Notamacropus eugenii: one gene and its partners. Each later gene encodes a partner of the first gene's protein in a complex. Links are inferred from orthologs where the notes say so. Each region holds a gene or a part of one and is shown in the gene's direction. Other genes may lie near its edges.

Region 1 (7,003 bases):
GGGGCCAGCAAGGGGAGGAGGTGCCTTAATCTCCAAAGCTCAGGCAGCCAGTGCCCAGCCAAGCGTCCTTCCACAAGACCTCAGAGGACCCCCAATCACCCCGCCCCAAGGCTCCTCCCCTGGCCCCAGCCCAGCCAGCTCAATGTAGCAAGCATTGGCCTGGCCTTAAGTGCTCTTGGGATAATGACAGATTTCTCATTGGAACACACCAGGCTCAACGATAATCTAGGTTTTCCATGGGCAAATGAGTATTTAAAGAATGGGAGGAAGAGTGGGACTTAGCCAGGACATGATTATGACAAAAGACCCCTCAAAATTGCCCACACCAGGGCTGCTGAACTCATCAAGCTTAAAGATAATCGTACACCCCCATTTGTCCCACCCCCAGGTGACCAAACAGAATGATGGAACAAACTCAGAGAAATAAAATTTTATTAGCAAAAAACAAGGTAACGTCCAGCTCTTTTTCACAATGATTCAATGCCACACATGCAGGGTGTTCTGGCAGTACAGAAAATGATCTTCTCATATTCCAGTTCCTTCAAGAAAAAGAGGTGGTCACTTTGGAGGGTTCCCTCCAAACAGGAGACAAAGCATACAGAAGAGGTTAAGTTAAAGATCCCTCAGACAGTTCTCTCTGGAACAGAATCTCCTCCTGCCTCCCAGCCAGCCCCAGTGGGTTCAACCTTTGCAGGTTCTGGGGCAAGGTCAAGGAGTAAGACAGGTGGTGTCTTCTTCACTGGGATCCTCATTCATCACTCCCCAGATCCCATACCATTTAAACACCCTTCAGTTACAGTGATGAGGCCGGGCCTCTTATTGAGTTTATTCTGTATTTTAAAAATGTCTTCCATCTTTATCCTCCCCCAAACTCACCTAAGGTTCCTTTGCCAGGAGAGAACCAGGGAGAGCCAGCCTGTGGAAGAATAACACGAGTGAAAAAACCAGCCCAAAGCCCTGTCTTTAGGTGTTTCAAGATGATGCCAGGTGTCCCAGGGGACTGCTCATTACTCAGAACAACCTATCAGTCACTGGAATCAATCAGCCTGGGGCGGTATTCATTTCATCACTGGAGGGAGCAGGCCCCAGGGGCAGGAGAGGGAGGGTGAACTGTGGTTGGTTGGGGAAGCTCACCTGCTGCTATGGATTAGACTTCCATGCAGACAGTGCTGTCCTGTCCCCATGCCAGGTGGCCAGAGCCTACAACTTTGGAAAAAGCCAAGTTAGTTTGCGCGGGTCCCTCTCCAAGACCAGGGCTGCCCCAGAGGATCTTTCCTGGTCAGATATGCACATCTCAACAGGGGGGTTCAGACGAACGAGATTCTATGAACGCATCATGTCAGGAGGCCTACCAAAGAACTTATTACCCAGGGATCACCCGGCCCCAATGGGTCCAAACAAATACTTACATCGCAATAAATGGCCTTCCAGCCTGCCCTGCCCTAGGCAGTCTCCTTCAGGCAGTTCTTAGAAGGACCTACGGAGAGAACGAGTCAGTCAAATCCCAGTCCCTGCCCGTAGGACCTCGCTTCCCCTTGGTACGGTTTCTCAGATGTTCAAGCCTTTTCATTTTATACAAATCATAGTGAGCTAGTTAGACTCATCACTGAAACTGTACCCCAGGCCATTTCCCCAAAGGCCAAAATGATTCATAAAATCTGGTGGTCAAGTAGTCAACTAACCTTTTCTTGAGGAGGGGCCAGCTGATGGAAACAGGAAAGCTGTGAAGCCTAAAACACAAACGTTGAGGGATTAACCAAGTTGCCTTCCTGCTGATCCACAAGCCTCTGGAAGGGCCCTGTGCGTACCTCAGACAGTTCTTTCTGAACAAGTCATCCTCCTCTCCCCCAGCTAGCCCCAGTGGGTTCACCATTGCTGGCTCTGGGGCCAGGACTGGGGTTAAGACGTGTGTTTGCTCTCCTCATCGGTACCAGGGCGATCCCAAAGCTAACGAATCACGAAGATTACTTACCACGGTCTTCTCAGCCTGGTGCAGCACAGCTCGGCATTGCCCTGACAGATGAAACACGAGCAGGTTAGGCAATGCCTTAAACACGGCTAGCAAAGGGAACTCTGCAGCCCCCTACGGTTGATCAGGGCTTTGGTGACTCGAAAATGCCATAAGACACATGTCGTCCATTAGATAATGGGCTCACACCCACATCATCAATTCAAACCAAGGGCTCACAGGCATGCAAGGGAACGGCAGAACCAGGAGGGGCCACTTACTTCTTAAGGAGAAATGTGAAGGTAGCACGGATCAAGCAGATCTGGGAGAGAGGGAGGGAAGCGGGCGGGTCAGAGGGACCAAGGCTGGGGCGGGAACTCTTCTCAACAAGAGCTGCCATCAGAACTCTAACATGCTATAAGAACGGCGGGTCCTCACAGAACAATCAGGAGGTCAAATTCCAATCATCTGACAGGGGGCGGCGGAAGGCGCGGGGAGGTGCCCTCCCTTCGGGCTTCCCAGAAACCTGCAGAGCTGCCCCGAGGAAGCCAGAGAGGACACCCCGCCCCAGCTCCCTCTCGCGTCATTACCTGCAGCACGTTCCGGTCCGGTCCGGTCCGAGCAGGGAAGCCAGCCTAGAGAAACAGAGCGCGTTCACCGTCGGGCCCCGCGCTCGACTCCCTCCTCACAAAGGGCCGCCCCCTCTCAGAACACTGAACGACATCAAGGACTTCAGCCATATGCTTGTCATGGATCATTCATCACGGCGGACACGGCCCTCCACTCCCCGCGGGAGGGCTCGGGGGGGACTCACCGGGAGCGGCATCAGCGGGCCACGCGGAAGGCCGGGGCGCCGGGCACGGCCGGGGCGCCGGGCACGGGCGGGGCGGCTGCTGCAAGGCCGGGGCGCTGGGCACGGGCGGGGTGCCACCTGCAAGGACGGGGTGCCGGGCACGGGCGGGGTGCCACCTGCAAGGCCGGGGCGCCGGGCACGGGCGGGGTGCCACCTGCAAGGCCGGGGCGCCGGGCACGGGCGGGGCGCCACCTGCAAGGACAGGGGCGGCTGCTGCAAGGCCGGCCTCTCGGAGGGGGTGCCCCCCCGCCCCCCGGGGCCAGGCTACTCAGGACGGCAGCTTTCTCCACCGAGCCATCAGAAAGAGAGAATTCCAAGTCCGGGTCATCCTCGTAGCTGCACGCGGGCGCCCGGAGCCCCCCCCGGGGCCAGCGCCCCCCACTCACCCCGGCGTCGGGCGGCGGCCCCGCGGACGCGGCTCCCAGCCACGGCGGCCCTGCGGGAGGAGGCGGAGAGGCGGGTTGGGGGGGGCCCGCACCCTCGGGGTGTGCGCTCTGGGGGACGGGCTCCTTCTCAGAACGATTCTCGTCCTCACAGAGCGTCAGCACAGGTCTGTGAAAGGGATCATCACCGAGGGGGCCTCCTGCCCCCCCCCCCCCGGGGCACTAGCGTGGACGCGCCTCCAGGGCAGGCCCCGGCGCCGGGGGCGCCTAATGATTACGTGCCGTCGACCGCTCGGCCACGGCAGCTTCCCTGCCCCCGGCCCGGGGGTGCGCGCATGCGCGCCAGGAGCTCGGGGGGGGGGGGGGGCAGCCGCGGCCCGGGAACCCCCCCCAAAGGGGGCCGCTGGCTTGGCCGACGAAGTCGTTAGGAAGCGGGAAGCCAGGGGCGCCGAGCGAAATAAATGTGAAAATAAGCTCTCGCTCCCCTCTCCACCCACCCGGTCGTCAGAGACACCGAACTCACCGGCGGCGACAAAAGAGGACGAGAGAGACGCGGAGAGGGGCTTAAATACGGGCTCGCAAGGGCTCATGGGATGGTGGAGGAAAGGGAGGGGGGGAGGGAGCGGGAAGGGGAGGCGCATGCGCAGCGGCCTTTTCTCCGCGTGAGCGCTCGGGGCTCCCGGAGAGAACAAAGGAAGGGGGTGGCCGGAGGCGCGCGCCGAAGCCGCCTACGCCGCTGGGGCCGGGGTGGGGCGGGGCGCACGCACACGTGTGTGCGCACGCGCTTCGCTCGGCCGGCCTCCGCGCCCGCCCGGCCTCGCGGGCCCGCCGGACCTGCGCAGGAGGTCTCGGCGGTGGCCGGTACTCCCGGCGGACGGCGGCCATGGATCGGCGCTCTTCGACCGCGCCGCTCAAGTTCGGCCGCCCCCGGCCGCGGGCGGTCGTGCGCTTCCTGGGCCTCGGGGACCGGGACTCCAGCGCCCGTGGCTCAGGTACTTGGGCCCCGGCGGGGGGCGCGAGGCAGCCCTCGATGGTGCCGGAGAGAGGTCGGGCCCTCTCCTTGGAGCCGGGGTTCGAGCCGGGCCGCCCGGTCCCCCAAGCACTCGGACCCCTCCCCCTGCCCCGCCACGCACTGTCCACACTCCACCCTCCGGGCCTTTGCCCAGGCCTCCCCGGCTGTCCTCCTGGCTCCATGAATTTTCAGTGGCCGTCCTCGGGAATGCTCTCCTTCCTCGTTTCCTCCTCCTCCAGGAAACCTCTTCCCTTGGAGCCGTCTGCACTTGCTCCTCTCTCCATGGCTGGTCAGACGTACTTTCTGGGTGATTTAATAACTTTGGGACTAAGGCCAGCATTTTCATAAAAGCGCGGTCACTTGGCCATCTTTCTTAGACCAAAGACCATCATGTTGGTGGGCTCACCACTTACACGGACAGCACTCCCATCAGCTTTCATTGGCTAACCATGAGAAAATGAGCATTGCAATTCAAATGAACTTTGGGTTATTTACTTCGAACCCCTAGCCTTAAGCAATCTGCAAAGAATTTACCCCCATCCACACCGAGTACAGTACAATGGCTTCCCCCGTACTGGGTCTGAACTAGACTACTAAGAACAGTCTCATTATGACTAACGACCTAGAAAAAGGGGGGAAACTCAATCTCCCCAAATTATTGGTTATTAATAACTTCTCTCAGGTATCATTGCCTGAAAGGAAATCAAAAGGCCTTTTTTCATTTCTGTTGGACCTCCAAGATACTCTTCAGCCTTGGACACGCTGTCCATCCCAGTTTTCTCCACCCCCGGCCATCTTTCACCATACTTGTTAGCCCTGGGCCTGTTGAGTCAGCTTCTCTTTAGTCTCCTGTTGGATCATCAGCACAGTCATTCCTACTCCCCAAGGGGCCTTTTCTCATTTTGTGTTTTTCTTCCTGTTGTCCGTAGCTCTGATGGGTTCACTTGCCATCTGTTTGCAGATGATTCCTGGATCAATACTTCCAGCTCTCATTTCTCTCTGGAGCTCTGCTCCTTCATTGCCAGCTGCCTTCTGGGCATCTCCAGCTCAACATGTTCCCTTCTGATATAGTGGCCACCCTAGTTTAGGCCCTGGTCACCTCTCCCCTGGACTATTTAAATAGCCAGTCTTCAGTCTCCCTGCCTCATGTTTCTCCCCACCCCCATCCATCCTTTGATCAAAAGTGATTTTCCTAAAGCACAGGTCAGACCATGTCTTCTTCCCTACTCTCAGTAAACTCTAGTGGCTCCCTCTTGCCTCCAAGATCAAACATAAAACCTTCTTTGTGGCATTTAAAGCCCTTTCCTCCCTTTCTATTTCCCTCTGTGTCCTCTTGATGGGACACTGGCCCCCCTTCTGCTATGTTTTGGGTTTTGTCTCCCCCACTTTAAGCAGGTGACACCAGCCCCATGGAAAGTACTTAATACATTTAGAGAGAGTGCCTTCTCTGAATCTGCTGAGCTTTTCTTTTGACTGCAGGTTATTATAGGATCTAGAACTAGAAAAGATGTCAGGGATCTTGTCCAACTCCTTGATTTTACAGTCATAGTGTGTAGTCCCTTGTGGTGTGGGATCGATGCAAGGGGATGCTGGGAAATGTTTAAAAACCTGACTCTTGGGGAAAAAAGTACTCCAGGCACACTTGTAAATTTAATCATCTTTGTTCTAAGTGTAGACTAGGAGTGGGGAACCTTCTGCCTTGGGGCCATGAAGGTACTCCATCACTGGTCTTAACAACCAACAAAACAGTAAGTCAAGCTTCGCTTGGTAGTTTGGTGATTTCTGAGCAGGTGAATGCTCACTTCAACAATTTAACACCTGACTCTTTCTGCCCCGTTGACCTGGCTCCAGGACGCCCTTGGCGTGTTCCTTTTTGGACTGGTTTTGGACCAGTCATGTAGGGTGAGAAAGAGGGGAGATGGCTACGCAGGGAGGCCAGGCTGAGATGGCATGGCTGAGCTGGCATGTGGCCCATGTCTCTCATCACTCCAAGAAGGGCCCAAAAGCTTGAGAGCTCCCCAGGGTTTAACTGTCATCTCCATACAGATGAATGGCCTTGCCAGAGGTTACATGGGAGGGTTAGGGAAGGAGCCTACACTAGAAACAGCTCCCTCCCATCTCCTGCAGTCTGGTAACAAAGCTGCCTCCATTTGGATGGCCCAGGCTAGTCATGCTTCTGTCTCCTCTGGCCTTTGATCCTCCAGACTTGACCCCCAGCCTCGCTGGTCCCTTACCCTCCCTTTAATGGATTGGCTTTTCCCATTGGAACATGAGCCCTCAGAGAACAGGGACTGGCTGTGGCCTGCCTGCCTCGGCTTAGAGAGACCCCCAAGGCAAACAGGCCCTGCTCCTGGACAAGCCAGTGCTGCAGTCATCCCCATTTTACAGGTGAGGAAACACTCAGAGAGTTAGGTGATTGGTCAACACATCCTAGTGTTGAAGAGACAGGTGGGAGAGCTGGTTCAAAATGTGGATTCACTTAGACCTTCTCTGTAGCCATTGGGAGCTTTACTGACACAAAAGCAGCGGGCCTGAGATTTAACAAGGAGCTAAACAAAGGCAGTGAAATAGGAAAAGGACCAGACTTATATAGGGTGATTTTAGGGTTTCCTGGTGGGAGGTTGGAGATCTTGGGTAAGTCTTGCAAGATAAAAACATGGGTAAGGGCTATGAATGACACAATATAAGGAAGATAAGGAAATCTTATTCCCAGGATGAGGGGTAGGAACAAAGAATTTTATGATCCCCCCAGCAGGATAAGGGGAATTTTTGTGGTAAGGGGAGACTTTAGGGCACCTAGGGCTTCA
Region 2 (7,476 bases), on another chromosome or scaffold:
TTGTAAGTTGAGTCTTTGAACTAGTGAGGAGTGTTAACTAGTGTTAAGTGGCATCTTAGAGTCAGACTATTTTAGTTTGTAGAGATCTTTGAGGCTCATTCAGTCCATCAGCTTTCTCTTTCTCAGAGCCTGACCTCTGGGAGCTTCCAATCTGACCTAGTAGAGACACTGTCAAATGGCATCAGAGGAAAAAGGACCGGGTTTAGAATCAGTCCTATTAAAGTGCCCTGCTCTCAGCTATTTACTGACCTTGGGCAAGTCCCTTTCCCTTTAGGGGCCATGATTTCCTTTGGGGAAGGGGAGGAATGAAGAAGTAAGACTTGATTATATCTAAGATCCCTTTCAGTTCTAAATCATAGGATCTTATGACTGTGCTCACCCCATGTTTCTCAGGAAAAGAATTATAAAAAGAATTCTGGAAAAAGTTATGTCTCCATTGCAATGACTAGCCACAATTTCTGAGGATTAATGATGAAACAAGCTATCCACTTCCTGAAAGAGTGGTGATAGCCTCAGGGTGCAAAATGAGCCACACAGTTTTTAGACATGGCCAATGTGGGAATTTATTTTGATATATGCATATTTATTACAGGGTTTTTGTTTCTCCTTTTTTCCCAATGGAATTTGTAGGAGGCATAAATTTTTGTTAGTGGACAAAAATTAAAAGTTAGATAAAAGCATTATATCTTTCCTGGAGAATAGAATAGACAGAAAGTTTGGAATAATTAAGGAAGACTCCAAGGAGAGACTTTGGAGAGAAAGAAAGGAAAAGGAGTTGCAGGGGCAGTAATAAGCTCTGCCTGTTTCAAGGCTTGTAAATATATCAGTTTGTGGAACATAAGAAAGGTAGAGTGACATCAGATTGTGGAGGACCTTGAATGGCATGACAGGAATTTAGCACTTTTCCTGTGGCTGTTGTGAAAACCAAAGGTGCCAGGAGAGAGGATACTGAAAACATCTTGGATTAGAAAGATTACAATTAGAAGAAGATGAAAAAAGGATTTGAGAAGAGGGACAATCCTTTCCACTTTGGGGCACCTCTGATTATCAGGCTTCCTTCTCCATAACTCACTGCTCTTAAGTCTGCCCCCCAGGGTGTCAACGTTCTTCACAAAATTTAGCTTTCAGAACCAGACACAATGTTCTGAGTGTGGTCTGTCCAAGGTACAGCAAGACTTTCACCTCCTTTGTTCTGGACGTTAAGCGTCTATTAATGAAACCTAAAATGATGTTTGCTTTTTCAGTTGCTAGGTTAATACTGATGACTTATAATAACCTTGCAGTCCATCAAAACTCCCAGGTTCCTTTTACTCAAATTGTTACCTCGTTAAACTTTCTTCCCATGCTGTATTTGTACAGTCAATTTTTTTTAACCCAGGTAGTACTTTACATTTAAGCCTATTAATTTTATGCTCTCTGAAATACCATTACCTCAGAGGAATCACAACTGCAGGCTACCCAAAGAGCAATGAAGAGAGATAAAGGATGTGAGCAAGGGTAGCATGATAATAATGGCACTCTATCCACTATACCACCTAGCTGCTTTAATAATGATGACTTGTATGCTAAATGTGACCTAAGAGATACCACGAACACGTATATCCAGACAAGGAGGTGAGCTAAACAGGTAGCAAGAGTGAGATCTAATAGATGGCTAGCTCAAGTGCTCCACTGGAATCCCTAAGATATTAAAATTAGCAAAGGAAGGTCTCCAGTACAATGGTTGAATCCTCAATGTAAAATCTGAATTAAAAAATAGACCAATAGGCATAACATGAAAACTTGGGGATGGAACATACTCCTGAGAAAGAGGTGCCCACGTCAGAAAGAACTCAGATCCATTTATGATTTTGTCACTGTGACTACTCTCTAGGTAAACACTGATCACAAAACACTTCTGCCCCTTGGTAGATGATCTTCATTAATTATTATGGCCAAAATTCAGTGCCAAATGGACAACCTGCTAAGCTTCTCATAAATGAATGAGATATTCCTTACATAAGAGATATGTATTCCATTGTCTGTGTCAAATTTCTTTTCAGCTTAGTAGGCCCTTCTAGTGTTTGTGCTTGTCTGACACACTTCAAGAAAGTAAGGTTGCCTCCATATCCCCAAAGAGGCATTGAAAGAGGACCACAGCAAAAGATCCATCCAAGATTCCAAATGTAAACTGATCTAATTATATTCAGTCCATTATTCTAGTCTGTTGAGATCTTCTTGGATCCCAATTTTGCCACCCTTTATGTCTATGAAGCTTTTGGCATAGTTCACCATTCCTTCTTCCTGGGTATTCCCTTTTCTTGGTTTCAGAGCAACTAAACCTCTCTTCCTTCTTCCTCTCTAACCAGTTCTATCACTATTGCTTTTCATCCACTTCCTAACCTCTATTATGAATGTTCTCCATGGTCTGTCTTTAGTTTAGCCCTCTTCTCTTTCCAGCCGGTACTATCTACCTTGGCATTCTCATACTCCCCCTCCCCCAGGCATACTATAACTCCCAGGAATGTATTGAAAACTGTGACCTCCTTCTGAGATCCAGTTTATCACCTTTAGCTACATATGTCATGTCTATCTAGTTGTCCCCACCCAATTCAACATATCCCAAACCAAGTTTACTATCTTTTCCCTAAACCAACTCACCCTTCTGACTTCACTATTTCTATCTGCAATGCCACTATTCAACTTCCTTTTTATGGCAAACAAGGCCTCTGATCAATCAACCAAGAAATATTTAATAATCACTTACTGTATGAGAAATATAGATAATAATAGCTAATATTCACACAGCACTTAACTATGTACCAGGCACTGTCCTAAGTATATTATAATTATCTCATTTGATCCTCACAACAAGATGAGTGCTATTATAATCTTCATTTTACAGATAAGGAAACTGAGGCAAACAGAGGTTAAGTGAGATGCCCAGTATCACATAATAAGTTTCTGAGGTCAGATTTAAACTCAGATCTTCCTGATTCAAGGCCCAACACTCTATTCACTGAGCCTCCTAGCTTCAACAGTGAAGGAGTTTCTGCCCTCGCTAAGTTTATATTTTACTGTTCCAACCTACTTTTCCAACTCTATCTCTCAACTCATTCTGCACTTTGGCCAAACTGGTCTTTCTGTCTGCTAAATGCATCATACTATCTGCTTCTATCTCTTTGCTCACTCCTTTCTCCTCTCCCAAATATAGAAGTACCTTCCTTTCCTTCTTCACCTTTTGCATTCCTACCTGTTCTTTACAGGTCTTGCCAAAGGCCCCTTTCCTGAAGCCTTCCTTGAATCACTTCCTTGAATTCCTTGGTATCAGTTTCTTCCCTCAGACTCTCAGAGCCCTTTGATTTCTACCTCTCTAATTCACGTTCCATGCGCTCTGTTATCATTATGGATTTTTGTATCTTATCACCCTTCTAAACTATGAGTTCCGAGACCCAAGAGCCTGTTTTATCTAAGCTATGTAAACGAAATCAATTATCTATCGTAGTAGCCAAGACCTTGCACATAATAGACTCTTAATGAATGTCTGTTGAAGTGTATGTGTAATATATGTTTGGTGACTAAATCCAACTTATTAACCACCTTTGTCTTCCTCAAAACACCCATCTTGGCAAACGGGGCTTCAATTAAATACTTGTTGAATGAAGACATGTTTAGAATCGACTCTCTTTGGAACTCATTTCAAATCCCCCGACCAGACACTGACTTCACATTGAGCCTTGGCCCTGGCCATAGCCTAATCCCTAAATCTGACTGAGACTTAAGTCCCACTTCAAATGAAGCCATGACCCTTACCCTAGACTGAGATGAACCCTGGTACCAGACTAGATGCTGATCCTGGTATGACAGACTAACCCCTTAACTCTAATCACGGACTAAGACCTCTCCTCAGACTGAATTGTCCCCAACCTTTGGCTCATTGGTTATGGGGAACAGGAGACGAGAAAATGTGGGATGCTCAAAGTCCTCCATCATTTTGCCCTTCAGGAGACAACCCAAAATCCCCTCTCATCTGGGGGAGGATGAAGATTATCAGTAACATTCCCAGGGTATTGGGCTGAGACAACATATTATAGATTCCTGTATTGGAGGCTCATCTGGATGAAGGTTAGCTTATGTCCCTAATAAGCTGTATCCCCTGGATCAAAAGTGCCATTTCCTCAGGGTCGGGCACAGAGTTCTCAAGAGGTTGGGTAGGTCTAACTCACTGCTTGCAGGCATCAGAATATCCAAATTCAGATCTATGAAAATGGTGTTCCAAGGGCCCTTCAGACTTCTCCCAGGACCTTGGCAGCTCAGTCTCAAAGTTTTTCCTTCTGATCCTCTATCTTAAGGAGCCCCGGGGCTCAGGGTTGAAGATTTCGCTTTAAGGGAGGGTCTCTCGGTCAGTGTCCGCGTTGGGGCCCCTCCCCCGTCCTCCAGCCCTCCAGGGGATAGGGCCCGGACCCCGGGCGGAGCGCCAGCGCATGCGCCTGCAGGTCTGCGCTGCCCGTGGCTGCGAGGCGCGGACCGGGCGCAGACTGAGTAGGGGACGCGGGGACAGCGACATGGCCGGACAGACGCAGCAGCCGAGCGGGGGCGGGGACCGGGGCCCTAGTCCGAGCCCAAGCTCTCCTGCGGACGGCTTGGCCGCCACCCCAGCTCCGGCCCCAGCTCGGGTAGAAGAGAGGGTGACTCTGAAGAAGGAGATTGGGCTGGTGAGCGCCTGTGCCATCATCATTGGTGAGCGGGGGCCGGTATCCCGGGCTGGGACAGAGGGAGGGGGGGAGGGAGGCTGTTGGGGTCGGACTGGGGACCCGGGCAAGCTGGCTGCACTGGGCACTCTGGGAGCAGCACGGCCCCCAGCAAGTTGAGCAAAGTTGGCTGCAGTCAAACCTGTTGGAGTGCCAGCTGCTCTGGGGTTCGCTCTCTCGGCACGCAGCGCCCCCGCCCGGCTCGACCCGCGCCCGGGACACCCTCCTTTGAAGGGACGAGACTGGATGGGATGGGACTGGTCCCGAGAGGTCAGGGACACGTGCCTCACCCCCACCCACTCCCCTCAGCAAACACTTCCTGGCAACATCCACCCACGCCGGGACCACGGCCTCGATGCAGGGCCCTCGGCATAGCGCGAATCGGCGATGTCCCCATCTGCCCTCGTGGCACTAAGAGAGGAGCTCAGGAGCAGCCACAGCAGATGAAATACTGAGTCTCAGGGCTACGTCCCACCCTGTCCTGGCCAGAGTCCTCCCTGTCTGAAAACAGTTTCCCAGTCGTGGGTGCCCCAGCTCCCGAAGTATAGAATCAAACGCCAGTTTCCACCTCCCTAGTCCGAACATAGAGCGCGCGCGCCTCCCCGGCCCCAGTCTCTTGCCCCAGTACCCAGTCTCATCAAACCCAGCACAGTGATCTTCCTCTTCCGGGATACCTCCGTCTCCCCAATCATAGGGGACCAGGCTCCTCTCACCGAGCAAAAGGACTTTCTTTTCTCTTAAGCGCCTAAATTAGTGCGCAAAGTTTCGCTTGCCAAGCTGGTCTTTCCTCTCCAGAAGCTGGGTGCTGGAAGACTGGAGGACCTCGCGCTACTTTGGGAGCCTAGATGCTGGGAGGAGGAAGGGTCAAGGCTTCGGAAGAGGGACTGGTAGCTGCAGAGAATGTCCCAAAGGAGAGGATTTTTAAGGGGAGAAGTCGAGGTCAGGTATGGGATGGGGTGATGCTATCGCACCAGAATCCCCAGGGAGCAGAGAACCTGTAGCAAGAAATAGTCACAAGAGGAGACTATATTGTGGCGTAGAACTTTTGTTGTGGGAACTTTATAGGAAAGGAGAGAAAACTTCACGAAAAACTTTAGAGCAGGAAGAGAGGAAATTGTGGCAATGTACCGAAGAGGGAAAAAGAGATGTAGCCAACAGCTTCGGGAGAGCTGAAAACATTGTTGCGGGAGAAGGGAGAAGGAGAACAGTTTTGGACTGCGGGGCTGCGTGTTTAGTTTGCAGAGAGGCTGCCTCTCCTTACAGGGGTTCAGCACCTGGGCTTACCTTTATTTCCCCCCAGAGTGAATAGCGACTAGGGAGGGGCGGCAATTAAGAGGCAGTGGGAGAAGCAGCCTTGGACAGTACATTTGGGTTAGGGTTCCAGTTCTGCTACTAACTTGCTAAGTGACTTTCAAATCATTTCTCCGTCTGAACCTCAGTTTCTTCCTCTGTAAAGTGGGGATAACAATATCTGTTTAGGAGAGCTAATTCAAAGAAAATTGTGAAGATTAAGTGGGATGGTGACTAAGAAAGTGCTTCGAGAAGTAGCAAGTCCTAGGTTAGAGGTACTATTAGGAAGTAGGAGCTTGGTCTGAAAAGGAGGGAATGAATGAAGAGCACACAAATAAGGGAAGTATTTGACCTTGAAGATTCAGAGGGCAGGCCAAAATGTCAGTGGTATGACTTGCAGGGGCAAGGTCTTCTAGGCCTAGAAGCTAGCTCTCTATTCACTATGCCATACTGGTGATGATGATGAGGGTGATTGATGATGATGATGATGATGGTGATGATTCAAGACTAGATGTTTGACACCAGAAATTGCAGAAGGATTGTTCTTATAGCACACAGTAGATGCTTAATAAATGTTTGTTGACTGGAAGGAGCCCAGACTTATTGATTACTTCAAATCATGCGAGGAAATGGCAGAAATTGAGTAACATGTCATTGCAGGTTGTAAAAATATAGCACCTACTGAATACCTAGGAAGATACAACCTAGTAGCCAGAATACATCAGAGCCTCACTATCATCCATAACCTAATAGACAATAAATCTCCATACTATAATACAGACTTCCAAATGACCTTAATAGTTCAATAAATAAAATATACAGGGACCATAGCATTATCCCAGACAAGACTGTCACCTATAGATACCTGAAGCTAACTCTGAGTCATAGACATTTAAGAACAATGTGTTTAATTGATGTCACCATACCAAGTACTCCTTATCTTCAAACTATACAGAAAGAAAGGCTTTTAAAATGTAAATGCCTATTGGAAGAAATGAAAACCATGTGAGACTAAGCTCAAGTACATATTATTCCTGTGATTTGGTCTGCTGCTAGAGTTGTACTACAGATGCTTTTTGATCCTACAGAAGATGAGCTTATAATTTAAATTATGAAAAGCAGTCACTTTATCCATCTCTGCAAAAGTCATCAGAACATTCAACATATAGAAATAATAGCAGGATAGTGACCTTTCTTAAGATTATTTCTATCCGAACAAAGACGAAAATGAGACAATAATAATTCACATTTTCCCAGTGTTTTAAGGTTCACAAACTGCTTTGTTTTCCTCATACCAGTCCTATCAACTATATCATATTTATTGTGTACCTACTGGTGGCATGGCCCTGTGCCTGGTGCTCTGAAAGAGACAGATGAATGAAACCAGGGATGTGATGGTAAATGCTTAACAACTGCTTCTCTGGGGAGAAAATATATGTGTGACACACATTTCAGT
Region 3 (7,053 bases), on another chromosome or scaffold:
TACTCCCATTAACCTGTGGAATTGTGCCACATAGTGCAGTCTGGCAGAAGAAGATGAGGCAGCTTTCCATTATACTTGTAGGTGAAACTTTCCATATGTGTTGTCTCCCCCATTACAATGTGAGCTCCTTGAAAGTAGGGACTGTATTACGTTACTATTCATATGTCCAGCACTTGGCATAGTGCTTTTCACATAGTGAGTTCTTCGTAAGGTCTTTTTTCATTCATTCATTCATTCGTTCGTTCGTTCGTTCGTTAGTTCATTCATCCATCCATCCATCCATCCATTCACTAGATATGAGGGTGCCAGTTTCCAGACTACACCAGGAAGGAAGTACATTTACATAGGATAGAGCCCCAATCTCTATACCCTAATTATGGTTGCTCAGTTTCCACACCAGGATTCTTCCTTTTCTGTCAATTGATAAACATTTGTTGATCCCCTCTTACATACCAGGCACTGTGTTAAGTGCATGAAACCTGGAGGAGTAACACTTATAGTCTGATTTTGTAGGTGGGTGGAAGGAGTCATGGTAGACGACTGCCATTAGAATCTTTGTCTAAAGTTCTGTTTTAGTGGACATTCATTTGTCCTCACTTGCCCATTTTCCTCTTGTATAGCTCTAATTGTTGAGAAGTTGGGTTTGTTTGTTCTTTGCTGATATCAAGCCTAAATTACCTCTTTGCAGCATTTATCCAACATTCTTGATTCTTGCATCTGAGATGCAGAGATTTCCAAGCCTTAGAGTTTTAAAAAAATGCCAGGTTTTGCTGTTGTATTTTTGACGTTGATTGATGGTTGATGGTCCATATATTAATGACGAATTAATCTTCTCAAAGGAATTTAGGCCAGAAGAGTTTGCAAAGTATGGAAGCAATGAAAACCTGAACTAATTCCTGGGCTACGTAAGGAAAACAGAGGCTTTTCCTTATAGAGAAAAGGGAATGGGGTTTAGACTGAGATGATCTGCATTTGAATACTGACTCTGGTGCTGAATGTTCAACACCTTGGCTACTATCTCTCTCTGAAACTCAGTTTCCACATCTGTAATGTGGAGTCAACTAGGTGGAACAGTGGATAGAGCTCTGACTCTGGACTCAGGAAGATCTGAGTTCAAAATCTGACCTCAAACACTTGCTAGTTGTGACCCTGGGCAAGTCACTTAACTTCTGCCTGCCTCAGTTTCCTTATCTGTAAAATGAGGATAATCATAGCATCTACCTTCCAGGGTTATTGTGAGGATCAGATGAAAGAATCATTGTAAAGGGCTTAGCAACAGTGCCTGGAACATACAGAGCAAGTACTTTATAAACGTTGTTATCATTATTATTAAAGGAGGGGTTTGGACAACATACTCTATATGAAAAAGATCTTCCTAAAATTCAGAACTATCTAAAAATGTGATAGGTCACCTCAAGAGTGGTGGGTTCTCCATCACTGGAGGCCTTCAAGAAGAAGCTGAATGATAACATTTTAGGTATGATAAAGAGGAAATTCTTGTACTGGTATGGGTTGACCAGATGAGATCCATTTCAATTCTTACATTGACTGGTGAATAGTATATTGGGCCTGGACTCTGAAAGACTAGGGTTTGAATCCTGCTTGTGGCACTTAGTAACTGGATTACCTTGGGCAAGTCAGTCCCCCTCTTGGAAACTCAGTTTCCCCTTTAGTGAAATGGGGCTAATGATACTCATAGTTCTGAGCTCAACTGGTTATTGCAAGATCCAAAGGAAATAATTTCTGTAAGACTTTGGTGTTTTTGCAAATCTTTTAAAAGTGTTTATGAAAAGTTATATAGTCATTTGTTGTTACTGAGATAGTCCCCTGCAGTTCTAAGTAATCTGAGCCTATGGAACTCTCTTGGGCATCTCTATGTAACACTCCAGAGGATAACTGGACAGAAGAGGGGCTGAGTGTTCTAGGACTATTGCTTGGCTTTCTCCAGCCGTCTCACTTCTCCCCTGACCTTCACACCTGTCTGACAGCTCCTCAAGCTGGTTAAGTGATAAGAGCAGAGGGATGATAATAACTTCTTCCCATTCTGGAATCCCAAACCACAGGTAACAGCAGCCAATCACTGACCTACAAGCTTGGCACCAGTTTCAGAGGCTGTTTGTTGGTAGAGGGAGATAGAGGGCTTGAAAGACCTTGCCACTTTTTAATGTTTCTTTCTGTTGAAATTCAGGGTGCCGGGGACCCCAAAATACCGATACACTGGGTCCTGTCGAATGAATTCAACTTAAGCTTTCTTTCAGTCAAAGTAAAATAAAATTTATTGAAGATTCACCATATTAGGTTGACTGTTAAGGAGTCTAACCATTTGTAATGCTGTATACAATCTGAGCTAGATTGATCCTGATTTAGATTGAATCTGAGTGCCTTCATGGAGGCAAGATGGAGCCTATATACAGAAAGACTATGGGAGGAATCTGGAGATGTCTAGTAGTCTGGGGGTTCCAGGGATGGTCCTGATTGGGGTGGTCAGCCTGGAATGTCTAGAGGTATGATCTTGATCGGAATGACCAGAATAGAGGTCAAATCTAGGCAGGATCTTGATGGGAGTGACCAGTACCCTGGGGTGACTAAACATTAAATCTAGAGGATCTTGATGGGAGTACAAAGTAGCCTGGAGAATAGGATTTTGATAGGATAAAGGTGGAGAGTAAAACAGAGATCTGGGCATGGTGATAATGAAAAACTTATGGTCCTCAGAGAATGCCAGATCAAATATGAGGAATTCAAGGAGCCCTCGGGGTGAGGCCCTCCAGGGTCCCCTAGACAAATGGGACCAAAACTCCTCTGGGCCAAGAGACAAAGATCTCAGCTTGGGCTTGTACCCTGTCATTTCCGTGTGAATTTTTTTTTTTTAAATCAAAGCAAATTCTGAAAATCTGATTATAACTTTCTCCACCCTGACCTCCTCACAATACACTTAGTAGTTGTGGGCAAGTTGGTACCCCTCTTGGAAAGTTTTCTCATCTGTGAAATGGGACTGAAAATACTTGTAGTTCTGATCTCAGAGGAGTATTGCAAAACCCAAAAGGATACAATGGATATAGAGAATTCCAAACACCTTCCACTAAGGAAAGTCTACAACTGAGCAGTGAGTTGATTTGCTTAAGGTAATAACATTTTATGCAGCAGCCTAAACTTGAACCTAAGTCTCTTTTCCCCCCTCAATTTTCTTATCTGTATAATGAGATGGAGAAGGAAATGGCAAGCCACTCCAAGGTCTTTTCCAAGAAAACCCCAAATAGGATCGGGAAGATTCTGACAGGACTGAAATGACTGAACAACCACAAAGCAGTAGTCTTTGCAGCCTCTACAACTAACTTCAGGGAACAAAAATGCCCTGAGGGATGTCAATTTCAGCAAAAATAATTCTCTTTAGGAAATCACCAAGTAACTTGGAAATCTGAGAATGATTCTCGTTGGGGTAACTGTGGTTTTTAAACGTAGTCATATTCTCGTGGATCACACCTTCGCAAGGCGAAAATGTAAGTGTATTGTCAGAGCAAAATGAAAAAATCCCTCCCTTCCCTCAGTATGAGCCACAATCCCCTTCAAGAAGAAGAAGGTGCGGAAAAACTCTCTCTCTCCCTCTCTCCCTCTCACTCTCTCTCCCTCTCTCCCTCTCTCTCTCTGTCTCTCTCTCTCCCCACCTACAAGATAGATTTGCTTATGTTGCTAGGCAACCAAAAGTTTTCTTTTCTTTCTTTTTTTTTTTTTTAAGGAAGTAAAAAAAAGGTGTGCATGGGGGGTCGCACTTTGGGTGACTAATGCAGCTTGATGTTCCCTTCAACTTTTGGCTGCTTCATGAAAGAGGTGTGGGTGCGTGCGTGTGCATGGGGAAGGGAGGGGTGGCGATCCCAGATAAAAATGAAGTAGATGTTTCCTGTTTGGTGTTTCATTTTCTTTCTGTTTGAGGAGCCTTGGGGCCTCCCTGAGTGTTACTCTCCACCTCTGGGAGGGTCTCTGTGGGTTTCCTCCCTCTGGATTGGCTCCTGAGGCCTTTTAAGTGAAGGCTTTGTTCTCTGCAAAGCGCAGGTCAGTTGGGCTACACGCTGCCACTGTTTGGGGAAAGGAGAAAAAAAAGAGCTGAGTAATGCTGAAGCCTTCTCCTGTGGCTGATGCAAACCTGGAGAATTTGCATCATCACTGAGCTGGAGTGAGTTGGTGTGACAGAAGCTTAAATACGGGCGCTGGAGGGAGCTGAGCTAGGTTCTAATGACAGGGCAGTAGCAGCAGCAGCGAGGGGCAGAACGGAAGGGTCCGGGCTGCCATGGGAAAGGCACAGGTGCTCTGGAGGAGGCATTAGGGAGGCGGGAAGCGTAAAACACACCTTTTGAAGGTCCATACCTGTGAACCCTAGAGCAGCGTGAAAGGCTACCAGGACAGGAAAACAGTTCGAACTCAGTCTGATCAGGGAGACCAGACCTTGTTTTCAAAGTTTTTCTCCTCCTGCTTCTCGCCTTTCTCGTTCTCCTGGTCCTCCTCTTCCTCCTCATCTTTCTTCTTTTCCTCTCCTTCCTTCTTCTCGTCTTTCTCTCTTTTTCTGTATTTTTTGCTTTTTGCTTTTTATTTTTCCCCTTGAGTTTGGCAGAATCCCACTATGGTCAAGAAGCCAGTGATGCCCTCCATTTCCAATGGAGACTACCTCCAGGGGGATGCTCAAGGTCACTTGACCTCCAGGGGCAGCAAAGAGGCCCCCGAGCAGGCTAAGATGGTGCTGAAGAAAAAAATCACGCTGCTGAGGGGCATCTCCATCATCATTGGCACTATCATCGGGGCTGGCATCTTCATCTCCCCCAAAGGAGTTCTCCAAAACACGGGCACCGTAGGCATGTCTCTGATCGTCTGGACGGTCTGTGGGCTCGTGTCTCTGTTTGGTGAGTTTATGTTTAAAATTGGAGTCCCTTGAGGGTATGTGTGTGGGAGGCTGCTACTGGGCATGCAGCTTGGCATGCTGATTTGGGAGGTGAGTGGCTGGTCTGCTAGTAGAATTAGAGTAGAAGTAGAGGAGAGTGGTAATGAGGAGAAATCATTCAAGTCATCTAGGAGTTTCTGGATGACTTGAATAGTCCCCTCTTTTCCTTCCCCAACCTCCTTTATTTCCCTTTCCTGATGAAGAGAAAATCTTTTCATTTCTTTATAGTGATGGAAATAAGCACTCATTTTTATTGCCTATAAAAAGGCAAGCACTGGACATTTGTGCTTGTCTGGGCAATGCTAGGGCTGAGCCCCTGAAGCCTCTGTGAATTGTAAAATCTGGTTGGCCTAGTTACATTCAGTGCTGAGTTGTCCAACAGTTTTCCTGACTTCTTATTGGTGAAACAAATGGTAAGGCAGTGCTTTTCCTTAAAACACTAACACAGACACACAAACAGACATACACACAGACACACACCCCACCTTCATGGGCCTGACTTTTCCGTGTGAGCCACTGAACTGTAGAAAGATATGGCAGGACATACCATGAGGAATTCTGCCCTTGCATCAGTCAAGGATATGATTAGTATGTTATAACTTTTCATATCCAACCTCCTCCCACCTCAATTATCTTCTGCTTAAATATTGAGCTTGGTTGGGTGCGGGTCTAAGCAGTTTATTCAGTCATTTTTTTCACTTGTGCCAGTTTGTTGACGTCCTAAAGTTTGATAAGATGTCCTCAGAGAAACTTAATGAACCTGGAAAAGAAGCTTCCTCCCCCAATTCAGATGGCTGCATTAAAAGCCTATTTAAAGAATAATGGACAACACCAAAAGATACCTACTCAAGACTCAAACAAAAAAAAGTATCATTCAGAGTTTTTGTTAAATGTCAGGCCCCTACAGTTATCTGTGGCCTAAATGATGAGCTAGGTTGGATGGGAGTCTAAGGGGTATACCCAAGCCTCATTTTCTTCCCCTGTGTCCATCTGTTGTTCCAAAGAGTTTGGTGACAAGATTACCTTAGTGAAACTCAATGAAATTGTTCCAAATTTTAATTAAGTGTCAGATCCATACAGTGTCATCTGTATTGGTCCAGTACATGAGGCAGTACCAGTTAATCATCTGACCAGGAATAGAAAGCTAAATCTACCCATTTTAAGCAAGGTAAGTCCTAAATAAGCTTGTTTAAGGATCAAGGAGAGTATATTCTGATTCCGGAAGATTCAGAAGAAAGATCACTTGGAAGTAGAGTCAGAAAACATGGCTCCTAGTACTACGCATGTGGTCTTGGGGAAGCTACTTGACTTCCTTTGGGCCTCAGTTTTCCTAATCTTTAAAAGAAGGGAGTTAGACTAGATCAGGGGGTGGGGAACCTGTGGCCTTGGACCACCTATCGATTTCTAGGTCCTTTGGTGGCCAGCCTTTTGACTGAGTCTAAGTTTTACAGTTTTACTAAAGGGATTTATTCTGTAAAGTTTGGATTCAGTCCAAGGGCCACATTTGAGGACCTAGAGGGCCACATGTGGCCTGGAGGTCTCAGGTTTCCCACCCCTGCACTAGATGATCTCTAAGGTCCCTTCTAGCTTTGACTTTGATCCTGTGAAGGTTCTGACCTTACCACTACAAAGCAGTTATTCTGTCTTAGAATAAACGCTAAGTCAATTTTCTTAGGGTTTTCCTGACTCATTCATATTTTTTCTGGACTCTCAAATATCTCATTCCAATGATTTTTCTATTCAACTTCAGAACTCGAGTTACATTATAAGGAAATTTACATAGATGTAAAACCAGTTGACTGGATCCATAGCTCTGCCATTAAACCAAGGAGTGGAGTCTTCTAGGACAAATTTATAAAGAGTTAGGTTTCCTTTCTCTTCCTTGCTTACTTCTTCCTACCAGCTAGTCTTTTACCTTACCATTAGTTTCATTTATTTTTCTTTTGGTCTGGAACTGTGACTTTTGCATTGTAAGCAGTTTTTGCTGGGGAAACTCTACCAATTCAAATCAGCCACTTGTGATCTCATGGCTTTGTCTGAGATGCTGAAGTTAAGTGACTTGACCATGGTCACAGGGTCACCACAGCAGTATATTAGAGGAAGAATTTCAGGCCAGGTCTCTC
Region 4 (7,839 bases), on another chromosome or scaffold:
ATGGTAGATGGAGTTTCTTCACCTAGGAGTTCCCAATTCTGATGCAATAATAGCTGTAATCTTAAATTTCACCCTTCTATTTTCCTCACCTAATATAGATGATGAGTAAGTAAAGAGTTCACTGAAAAAGACAAGTGGATGATCTCTATAGTCAAGCCTTTGCTTTAATAACAACCATTATTAACCACAGGCAGCTAGGTGGCACAGTGGATAGAGCACCAAGCCTACAGTCGGGAAAACCTGAGTTCAAATTCAGCCTCAGACAGTCACTAGCATCGTGGCCCTGGACAAGTCACTTAACCCTGTTTGCCTCAGTTTCCTCATCTGGAAAATGAGTTGGAGAAATAAACAGCAAACCATTTGCAATATCTTTGCCAAGAAAATCTCAAATGGGGTCACGAAGAGTCAGTCATGACAGAAAACGACTAAATAGAAAATGACTAATTGAAATAACACGTCACCATGTCATGTCTGTATTGGAACAGTAGGTGTCACCCACTCTCAGCCTTTCTCTGGAAAGGGAGTACCTGCCACTAAATCAGCCTTTGTAATTATTTCACCTTCCCTTCTACCTTTCTCAAGTTAAAGGGGAACAATTTGCTCCTAACATAAGTAAGCAATATTAAAAGCCCATTCAGATGTTGGCAACCGAGATATACTATAGGACATATTCTATATATTCTATCATATTTTATATTATTATATGTGTATATATGCATATATACACACACACATATATACATATGTGTGTGTATGTAATATATTTAAAATGGAGAATGGGGTATTGGTGTGGAAAGTGGGAATTGTCATTGGTAGATCCCTTTTGAGTTTCAAAACACATTAAGAAGGATGTTGGAGAATACATTTCTGGCCTAACTTTAAGAATACTTATGCACAGATCAGACCAAATTCCCCAAATTCCTTCAGAGATAAGTAGTTAAGGTTTAGAACTGGCTGGTTGTTGTCCTTCCTTGTCGAAGATCAAAATGACATCACTGTGCTAGAATCAAATTTCAGTGTGTCCAACTGTGGCTGTTCAGGCCAATATGAGCTCGAAATGTTCGACCACAGGTTGGGCACAAATAGTCCATGTGAACATTTGGGGTGAATTCTCTAAATTTGCTCATCTTGCATTTCTTTTGAGCTACTTCCATTCTGCTTTGCTCATAGGGCCCAGCACCTTTTCTGATGTGGGCACGCCATACTGAGATGTCCTGTGCCAGTATCTCCCATGTCATAATCAATATCAAAGTTAAGAAAGACCTTGGGAGTGTCCTTTTATGGCTTCTTCTGAACACCATATGAATGCTTGCCTTGTGTGAGTTCTCCATAAAATAGTCTTTTTGGCAAGCATATGTTTTGAACAACATGGCCAGCCCATCAGAGTTGGCTCTATGACGTAGAGTTCGAATGCTTCGCAGTTTAGTTCAAGAAAGGACCTCAGTGCCTGTTATCTTATCCTGTGAGATGATCTTTAGAATCTTCTTAAGACAATTCAGATGGAAAGGATTCTGTTTCACTGTCTACAATCCAGGTTTCACAAACGTACAACAAATAGATCAGTCATCTAATCCAATAACCTCATTTTATGCAAACTGAGGCCCAAAGCAGGAGGAGTCAAACTTAGATCTTCCAATTTCCAAAACCAGAGCTCTTTCCACTATCCCTCATTCTAGTGGGTGTTCATTTTACAAAGTACCCTGCGCTTCATGTATTCATTGAATATCTAATCAGTTGAAAATATTAATGATTTTCCTTCTGCATTATCTCTCCCATATGTCCCTTTTTTCTCCACTTACACTACTATCACCTGGGTTCAGACCCTCACTATCTCTCACCTGAGCTATTTCCAGAGTCTCCTAATAGATCTCCCTATTCCAATTTATTTCTACAACCCATCCTCCACACAGCTGCCAAATTTATATTACCTAAAGCTCAGATCTGATTAATGTCACCTCTCCTGCTCAAGAAATTTCAGTGGCCCTAGGATAAAATGCAAACTTCTCTCTGAACACTTACAATCCTTCATAATCAGACTTATCTTTCCATATGAATTCCACTCCCCCTCACATTCCCTCTTTTCTGGCCTGATTGACCTGTTTCCTATAGGACACAGGCTTCTTTTATGCCTTTGTACAAGCTCTCCCCCCTTGTCAGAAAAGTTCTCCCTCCCCACTTCTACCTCTTCTAATTCCTAACAGCCTTTTCCTTCATTCAGCCCTAGTGCTAACTCCTACAAGAAGTTTTGTCTTTCTTGACCCCCTTCTCTTACCCAGCAGATTATTACATATGTAGACATCTTGTTTACATGTCTCTGCATAGAGCTTATACTCTAGTGAGGGAGACAAAAATACAAAGCAAACTGTATACATGATAACTGGAAGATAGCTAAAAGTGGGGAAGGATTGGAATTAAGGGAATTAGGGAAGAATTCCTGTACAAGGCAGAATTTTAATTGGGACTTAAAGTAAGTCAGGAAAACCAGTAGAATGGATTCTCCTTGATATTAGCAACTATTTAATTTTTGCCTTATTCCCAATGCCTAGCATAGTGCCTGGCATATTAATAGGCTCTGGATAAATGCTGAATTAGGTAAAGTGAGGGAAATAGCTAGTTGTTCATAAGCTGCTTTTCACATAAGCTAGGTGGTGCCAGAGTACACTGAACACTGGGATCTGGAAGATCTGTGTTCAAATCCAGTCTCAGACACTAATAAGTCACTTAACCCCCATTTATCTCAGTTTCCTCATCTGTCAAATGGGGATAGCAATAGTTGCTATCTTATCTTCCACGGTTGTTGTGAGGAACAAATGAGACAAAAATTATAAGGCGTTTAGCACAAATTAACTTGCTATGTTTGATAGAGATATAGATCTAGATGTGTGTGTGTGTGTGTGTGTGTGTGTGTGTGTGTGTGTGTGTGTGTGTATACACACTAGTAAGCTAGGGACTAAATAAACACAAATAATAATTTGTAGCAATTCTATAGTTCTGGACTTCTAATATGATTGTACCCAGAAAGTTGCCTTGCCCCATAAGTCCCTCCAGGGTCTACTAACTAGGAGCTAAGCTTTCTCAGTCTAGTTATCTCTTGTGTTGGAGAGGTTTTGTATTAATCTGGTAAGACTCATGTTAAATTTATATCCTTTTAGTCATTAATAAGTTACAGAAAAAAAGCCATACTTGCAAGAATAAAAAAAAGTTACTTTTTTTGAGCCTCTCAATGACAGAATCTAACAGAAATCACCAGACTGATTAATAATAACTAAAAGAATTTTAATTGTGAATTATAACCTAAACCTAATGTCAAATGCCAAAGGCAGCATCCCCCTCCCCCAAAATGAAAGTTTCTTTTCCAATGACTCCTTTTCTGACTTTCCCCATTCCCTGACTGTTTTGCTGAATTTCTCCTTTCACCTCTTTTTGCTGAGGCTTTCAGTTTGCTTTGTCTCTATCAAATTCCAGGTAGAGGAAGGGGCTGAGGGCCATAACCTTTGAAACCTCTTAATGAGTGAGCCAGGAGCTTCAAGGACTGAAAACTCAGGGACTTTTAACTCCTATGCAAAGTTACCATGAGCCCAATCTTAGGGTTCAAACCTTTCTTTGATAATCTCAAGATTCAATTACGTTTGTGTGCATATATGTTTGGTTTGGGGTTTGGTTTTTTGTTTTTCAAAAAAAGGGAGTTATTCTTGAGCAGATTTCTGTAATCAGTAACCTCAAGGAACTTGGGCATTTAGACCTCTCCTCCCCATAAAACAGAAGCATTGTATACTGAACACGTAGGCAGGCTGGAATTAACTTTATGTTTTATAATGCAATCTTCTGAAGTATTTCAGGACTTTTAAAATGCTTTACCTCTCCACTGAGATGAAATACAAAGAATTCCAGGAAAAAAATGCAACCTGAAATACCTGGGGCTAAGGTGGGGTGGGAGTGGGGGGATGGGGAAGGACTGGGGGAATTAGTCATTATTAAGGTAATTTATTAGCCATGACCTGGTCTCTGGATCAGTAAAATATTTCTTTTTCTCCATTCAAACAGTCCAGTCACATTTTTTTAATGGAGTTGTAAAAGGTGCCATTGGGTCAGATTTGTTCCACTCTTTGCCTATGACTGGAGTCCAAGCTTAGCCCATAGTCTAACAGTTTTGCATTCTCAGTGTCTCATTTGGTCCTACTTGTAAAAGTTTCCAATTGTGAGCCAGTCATCCCCTTCCTCTCCCCCTCATCTCCCTCCCCACTCCCCTCAGATTTTAAAAGAAAACAATAATTTTAAAAGCAAAACCACAAACCCCTCCATTTGTTAATCTCTAACAGGAAATGTGCCCCCCTTTTTATTAATCATAATTCTTCTTTTATTTTCCTTCCATATCCTCAAATCATGTCTCCCATTCCTTCAGATACTTGGAGTCATCCCAGGGTTCCTTGCTCCTAGTACCCCCAAAGAATCTATGCTTAATTCTTATAAAACTTTGTCATGAGTCCAGTTTATTTCTAATGGGAGTTAAAACGGTCTCCACAACTGTTCCCTTATTTATAAAGCTCACAAATGTTACATGACATGTAATGCTATACCAGTTAATGAATCTCCCTGAACATTTGTGAGGAGAGGGATTTATATGCAATTTGTTCCAAAGGAGGGAGATGGAAGGGAGGAAAACTGCCGATCCCGTGTTCCTTGGAGGTCTTTTGGGTTTGTGTGCTAATACTGAAATCGAAGAAGAGGGAGGAGAAAGCTGCTGAGGATGGAGAGAAAAGGGAGAGGAGGTGGAGCTTACTGTGAGTTCAGGAAATAAAACCCCAGCTGGAGCTAAGGGCTTTCACACGTGAAGAAACTACTGTTCCTTTGGCTACGGAGAGAGATGGAGAGCTCCAAGCTCTAAGATAGATAGCAGAAAAGAAAACCAGACCTAGGACAGGAAGACAAGAGAGTAGCCTCTAAGAATAAATAAGAACACTGGGCAAAATCTGAAGGCAAGAGAAGGGAAGGGAAGGGAAGGGGAGGAGAGAGGAAAGGAAAGGAAAATCCACACCCTGTGCAACAGAATCTAGAGCAAACCGGCTGTGTCTGCAGTTTGTTTTTCTGAAAGACAAAGCACCTGAGGATTGTCTTTTTTCTAAGATTGTCAATGAAAAAAATAGTCTTACCCTTCTAACAAAAAACAAACAAAAACAGCCAACCGAGCTGAGCTAAAAGCCAGTTTGGATTTTGGTCTGAGGAGAGAGCTGAAGGAAATCCAAACTGTCTTTGGTGCATCTGAATGAAGCAGCTGCCTGTGTAAACTGAGCAGAATTCAGCCCTGGTTCAGGAGATCCACATCCCCTCACTCCTGTGATTTCTACAGGGAGTAGCTGGTACAGTTCTATTTTTGTACACACCTCTATTTTTCCTTTTTAAGCCACTTTCTTTGGTGGCAAACTAGAGCGACGGGAAAGTGTCTTAATTATACTAATATAAACTTGAGATTTTATTTTTTACCTGCATGTGCCTTTATTAAAGGACCAGGACGAAGGGTCATTATTTTAGGGAAAGGACATTTTCTTTCATTTGAAAGGCTTAGGAAGAAATAGAAATAGACAAGTAGGCAGAGAGGAAGGAAATTTCAGTGGTTGATTTTTTTTTTTCCGAAAAAAGATGGAAGAAAAGGCCAGGCACCGAAACAACGCTGAAAAGAGCCCCAGCAGCAGGAGCGAATCTGATCCTGGTCCAGATGCTGGTTCTGGAGGGGGAGGAGTAGCCCTGAAGAAAGAGATTGGGTTGGTCAGTGCTTGCGGCATCATTGTAGGTGAGTCTGACTGGTTTTCCTTTCTGTGGGAGTTAAATGGGCTTCTATTTCTCCCTCCCGGTTCCTCTTGCTCCTTATGGAATCATGTAGCAACTAAAGAATTCTTCTGTCATCGAAACAATTGGTAAAGCACCTAAAATTCACTGACGCCTTTTCCCTGCTGGTTGAGCTGCAGGGATGCACAAATTAGGTTACCATTCATTTAAAGCCAAGAAGCCAATAAAACTTGACCAAATGCTGCCAAAGATGAATGACCCCATCGTTTATCTTTGTGCCTGCAACCTCTGTGTGAGGGGGTGGGCACGTAGAAACATCAGGACCCAGGCTGGAGCTTTGGGCAATTCTGCTGTCTGTCCTAACGAGTGCACCTACCCCACTTCTTTCAGAGAAGAGACTGTGTCAGACTTTCTCAGAGAAGCAGCAATGACTTGAAAATGGAGCTGGGAAGAACAGACAGATAAAAGTATTTTATGGAAGCCTATGGCCCCCCATTAATCCTTGGGTCACCCTGAAAAAGTGCCTGGTAGCAGACCCATGGGTGTGTGGCATCATCTCTCGGAGTGGTCGATAGCGCCTCGGTCCAGTTTCTAGGCAACACTCTTCCTAGCGAAGCATTGAGATGATGGATTATAGCAACTTGCTCGACTTTCCTGGGGAAGTTCCTATGACTTTGGCTTTTGGGCACAATTGGTGTTGTTTTAACTCACTTAGGAAAAGTTGTGTTGTGATTACAATATTTGCTTGTCCGCTTCTCCTTTTGAACACCAGTTTTACAACTTATTGTATTCTGGTGCCCAGGAACAAGATTATCACATTCCAGACACCCCAGAGAGGGATTTCTTTTGGACTCTGAGAAATGAAAAGGCCTGGCCAGGAACAATTCTTCCCCCCACCGGCCAATTCAGATAAACTTCTCTCACCTTTTCTCCGGCTTTGATCATCTGTGGTCCTTGTTATCGTCTAAATTGGGACCCTGGGGAGCTCATTTCATCTTCATATTCTTATGACCTCTGCTGGAGGGAGAGGATTGAGTGGATTGGGGGTGGGGTGGGACTTGTCTGGCTTCTACAATTTTTCCAAAGCCTAATGTAAAAAAATTATAGTAAAAAACATCCCATTCTCTTACTGACTTTTATTTGCCTAGTTTGTATCTCTCCCCAAATGATCTTGGCCAAAGTACCATGTAGGTACCACCACACGCTAACAGTAAGGGCTATAAATAGCCTGAAGCCTGTCACCTCTTTCACCAGTATGACTGAGAGGATTAAATGTTTTTATTCCCTTTTAGGCAGGTTTCTGATTAAGGCTCATATACACATACATTCTTACCCCCCATTTCTAGCACCCCAATACACGCACATGATTCCTGTATGCTACAGTGAGTTGTAATCCTAATTAAATATAGAATGTCTACAAACTATTTCTCTTTTAAAGAATCTGAGGAAGTGGAGATGCTTAGCTGCCATGAATACTATCTCAGCTGTTCCTACAAGGATTGGTCCATGAACTTTTTTGAGTGTGAGAACAGTTTAATCTTGAACCCAAACCAGGCACCAGAAAATGTCATTCCAGTTACAAAAATAACAGCTCTGAGGTTCTGTAGTAACAAAAGAGCTTATGTGTTTGTTGTTCCAAGAGATGATGAGTAAGTTATTTTTCTCAGGAGTCAGATCCCTTATGGATGCTATTGTGTTCAAATATGAGCTAAAGTGATGATTGCTTGCTATTTAAGATGACTGCTTGGTTGCGAGACTGCTTCTCTGGTGGCATTGTGGTACAATGCAAAAAAGAGCTGAATTTGGAACCTGAGAGCTTGGGTTCAGATTTTGACCTTGGCCAATTTAATCTCTAGATTTGTTTTCTGGTTTTTAGAAATAGAAGGCTGGTCCCTTTCAATGTTAAATCTATAAGCCTAACACAGATCACCGGTCCCTGAGGGTTAGACAACAGAAGCTGCACCTCAGTAGCCATATTCATTCTAGTATTTTGGCCTGGGCTGAGAGATCTCTTTCCATGCTAAGTTGTCAAAAATAGTACTTTTTTCATAGAGT

The links.
Region 2: the proteins of SLC3A2 (region 1) and SLC7A10 are in contact, whole or in part, in a cryo-EM structure (PDB 8WNT), measured with the Homo sapiens proteins. The link is inferred for Notamacropus eugenii from reciprocal best matches to the Homo sapiens genes SLC3A2 and SLC7A10. Residues at the interface, in NP_002385.3 of Homo sapiens: Phe161, Thr162, Gly163, Leu164, Lys166, Leu169, Leu170, Val172, Ala173, Trp178, Arg182, Leu186, Phe189, Trp190, Trp193, Met196, Leu197, Ala200, Ile203, Ile204, Ala207, Pro208, Arg209, Cys210, Arg211, Glu212, Leu213, Arg534; in NP_062823.1 of Homo sapiens: Leu147, Val150, Phe151, Asn153, Cys154, Pro157, Ala160, Val163, Leu164, Met166, Ala167, Met170, Leu171, Trp174, Ser352, Val359, Glu481, Thr484, His485, Trp486, Gln488, Glu489, Leu490, Phe492, Val493, Val494, Tyr495, Gln497.
Region 3: the proteins of SLC3A2 (region 1) and SLC7A11 are in contact, whole or in part, in a cryo-EM structure (PDB 7P9V), measured with the Homo sapiens proteins. The link is inferred for Notamacropus eugenii from reciprocal best matches to the Homo sapiens genes SLC3A2 and SLC7A11. Residues at the interface, in NP_002385.3 of Homo sapiens: Glu167, Leu170, Ala173, Trp178, Thr181, Arg182, Phe189, Trp190, Trp193, Met196, Leu197, Gly199, Ala200, Ile203, Ile204, Ala207, Arg209, Cys210, Glu212, Leu213, Lys299, Arg534, Gln559; in NP_055146.1 of Homo sapiens: Leu151, Phe154, Phe155, Ile156, Gln157, Cys158, Glu159, Pro161, Leu163, Ala164, Leu167, Ile168, Ala170, Val171, Thr174, Val175, Val178, Gln217, Gln219, Val360, His373, Thr487, Gln489, Ile490, Ile491, Glu493, Val494, Val495.
Region 4: the proteins of SLC3A2 (region 1) and SLC7A8 are in contact, whole or in part, in a cryo-EM structure (PDB 7CMI), measured with the Homo sapiens proteins. The link is inferred for Notamacropus eugenii from reciprocal best matches to the Homo sapiens genes SLC3A2 and SLC7A8. Residues at the interface, in NP_002385.3 of Homo sapiens: Thr162, Gly163, Leu164, Ser165, Lys166, Glu167, Leu170, Ala173, Gly174, Trp178, Arg182, Leu185, Phe189, Trp190, Trp193, Met196, Leu197, Gly199, Ala200, Ile203, Ile204, Ala207, Arg209, Cys210, Arg211, Leu213, Lys532, Arg534, Asp558, Gln559; in NP_036376.2 of Homo sapiens: Leu147, Leu150, Phe151, Pro152, Thr153, Cys154, Phe155, Pro157, Ser159, Gly160, Leu163, Leu164, Ala166, Ile167, Leu170, Leu171, Trp174, Gln294, Ser352, Met356, Val359, Glu481, Thr484, Leu485, Gln488, Lys489, Met490, Cys491, Val492, Val493.

What each region holds. Positions count from the first base shown.
Region 1 is NC_092873.1:15,925,248-15,932,250, forward strand, and holds the start of SLC3A2 (amino acid transporter heavy chain SLC3A2), read left to right. Parts: upstream 1-4,067; coding exon 4,068-4,176; intron 4,177-7,003. Other genes in the region: uncharacterized protein, read right to left, coding at 1,468-1,477, 1,683-1,730, 1,973-2,013, 2,539-2,583, 2,763-2,993, 3,188-3,406, 3,463-3,747, 3,917-4,069. UniProt on the Homo sapiens protein: Acts as a chaperone that facilitates biogenesis and trafficking of functional transporters heterodimers to the plasma membrane.
Region 2 is NC_092872.1:454,207,871-454,215,346, forward strand, and holds the start of SLC7A10 (asc-type amino acid transporter 1), read left to right. Parts: upstream 1-4,466; 5' UTR 4,467-4,544; coding exon 4,545-4,719; intron 4,720-7,476. UniProt on the Homo sapiens protein: Associates with SLC3A2/4F2hc to form a functional heterodimeric complex that translocates small neutral L- and D-amino acids across the plasma membrane. Preferentially mediates exchange transport, but can also operate via facilitated diffusion.
Region 3 is NC_092877.1:134,703,254-134,710,306, reverse strand, and holds the start of SLC7A11 (cystine/glutamate transporter), read left to right. Parts: upstream 1-4,046; 5' UTR 4,047-4,171; intron 4,172-4,606; 5' UTR 4,607-4,615; coding exon 4,616-4,892; intron 4,893-7,053. UniProt on the Homo sapiens protein: Heterodimer with SLC3A2, that functions as an antiporter by mediating the exchange of extracellular anionic L-cystine and intracellular L-glutamate across the cellular plasma membrane.
Region 4 is NC_092878.1:9,925,468-9,933,306, forward strand, and holds the start of SLC7A8 (large neutral amino acids transporter small subunit 2), read left to right. Parts: upstream 1-4,824; 5' UTR 4,825-4,976; intron 4,977-5,249; exon of another isoform or gene 5,250-5,357; intron 5,358-5,637; coding exon 5,638-5,788; intron 5,789-7,839. UniProt on the Homo sapiens protein: Associates with SLC3A2 to form a functional heterodimeric complex that translocates small and large neutral amino acids with broad specificity and a stoichiometry of 1:1.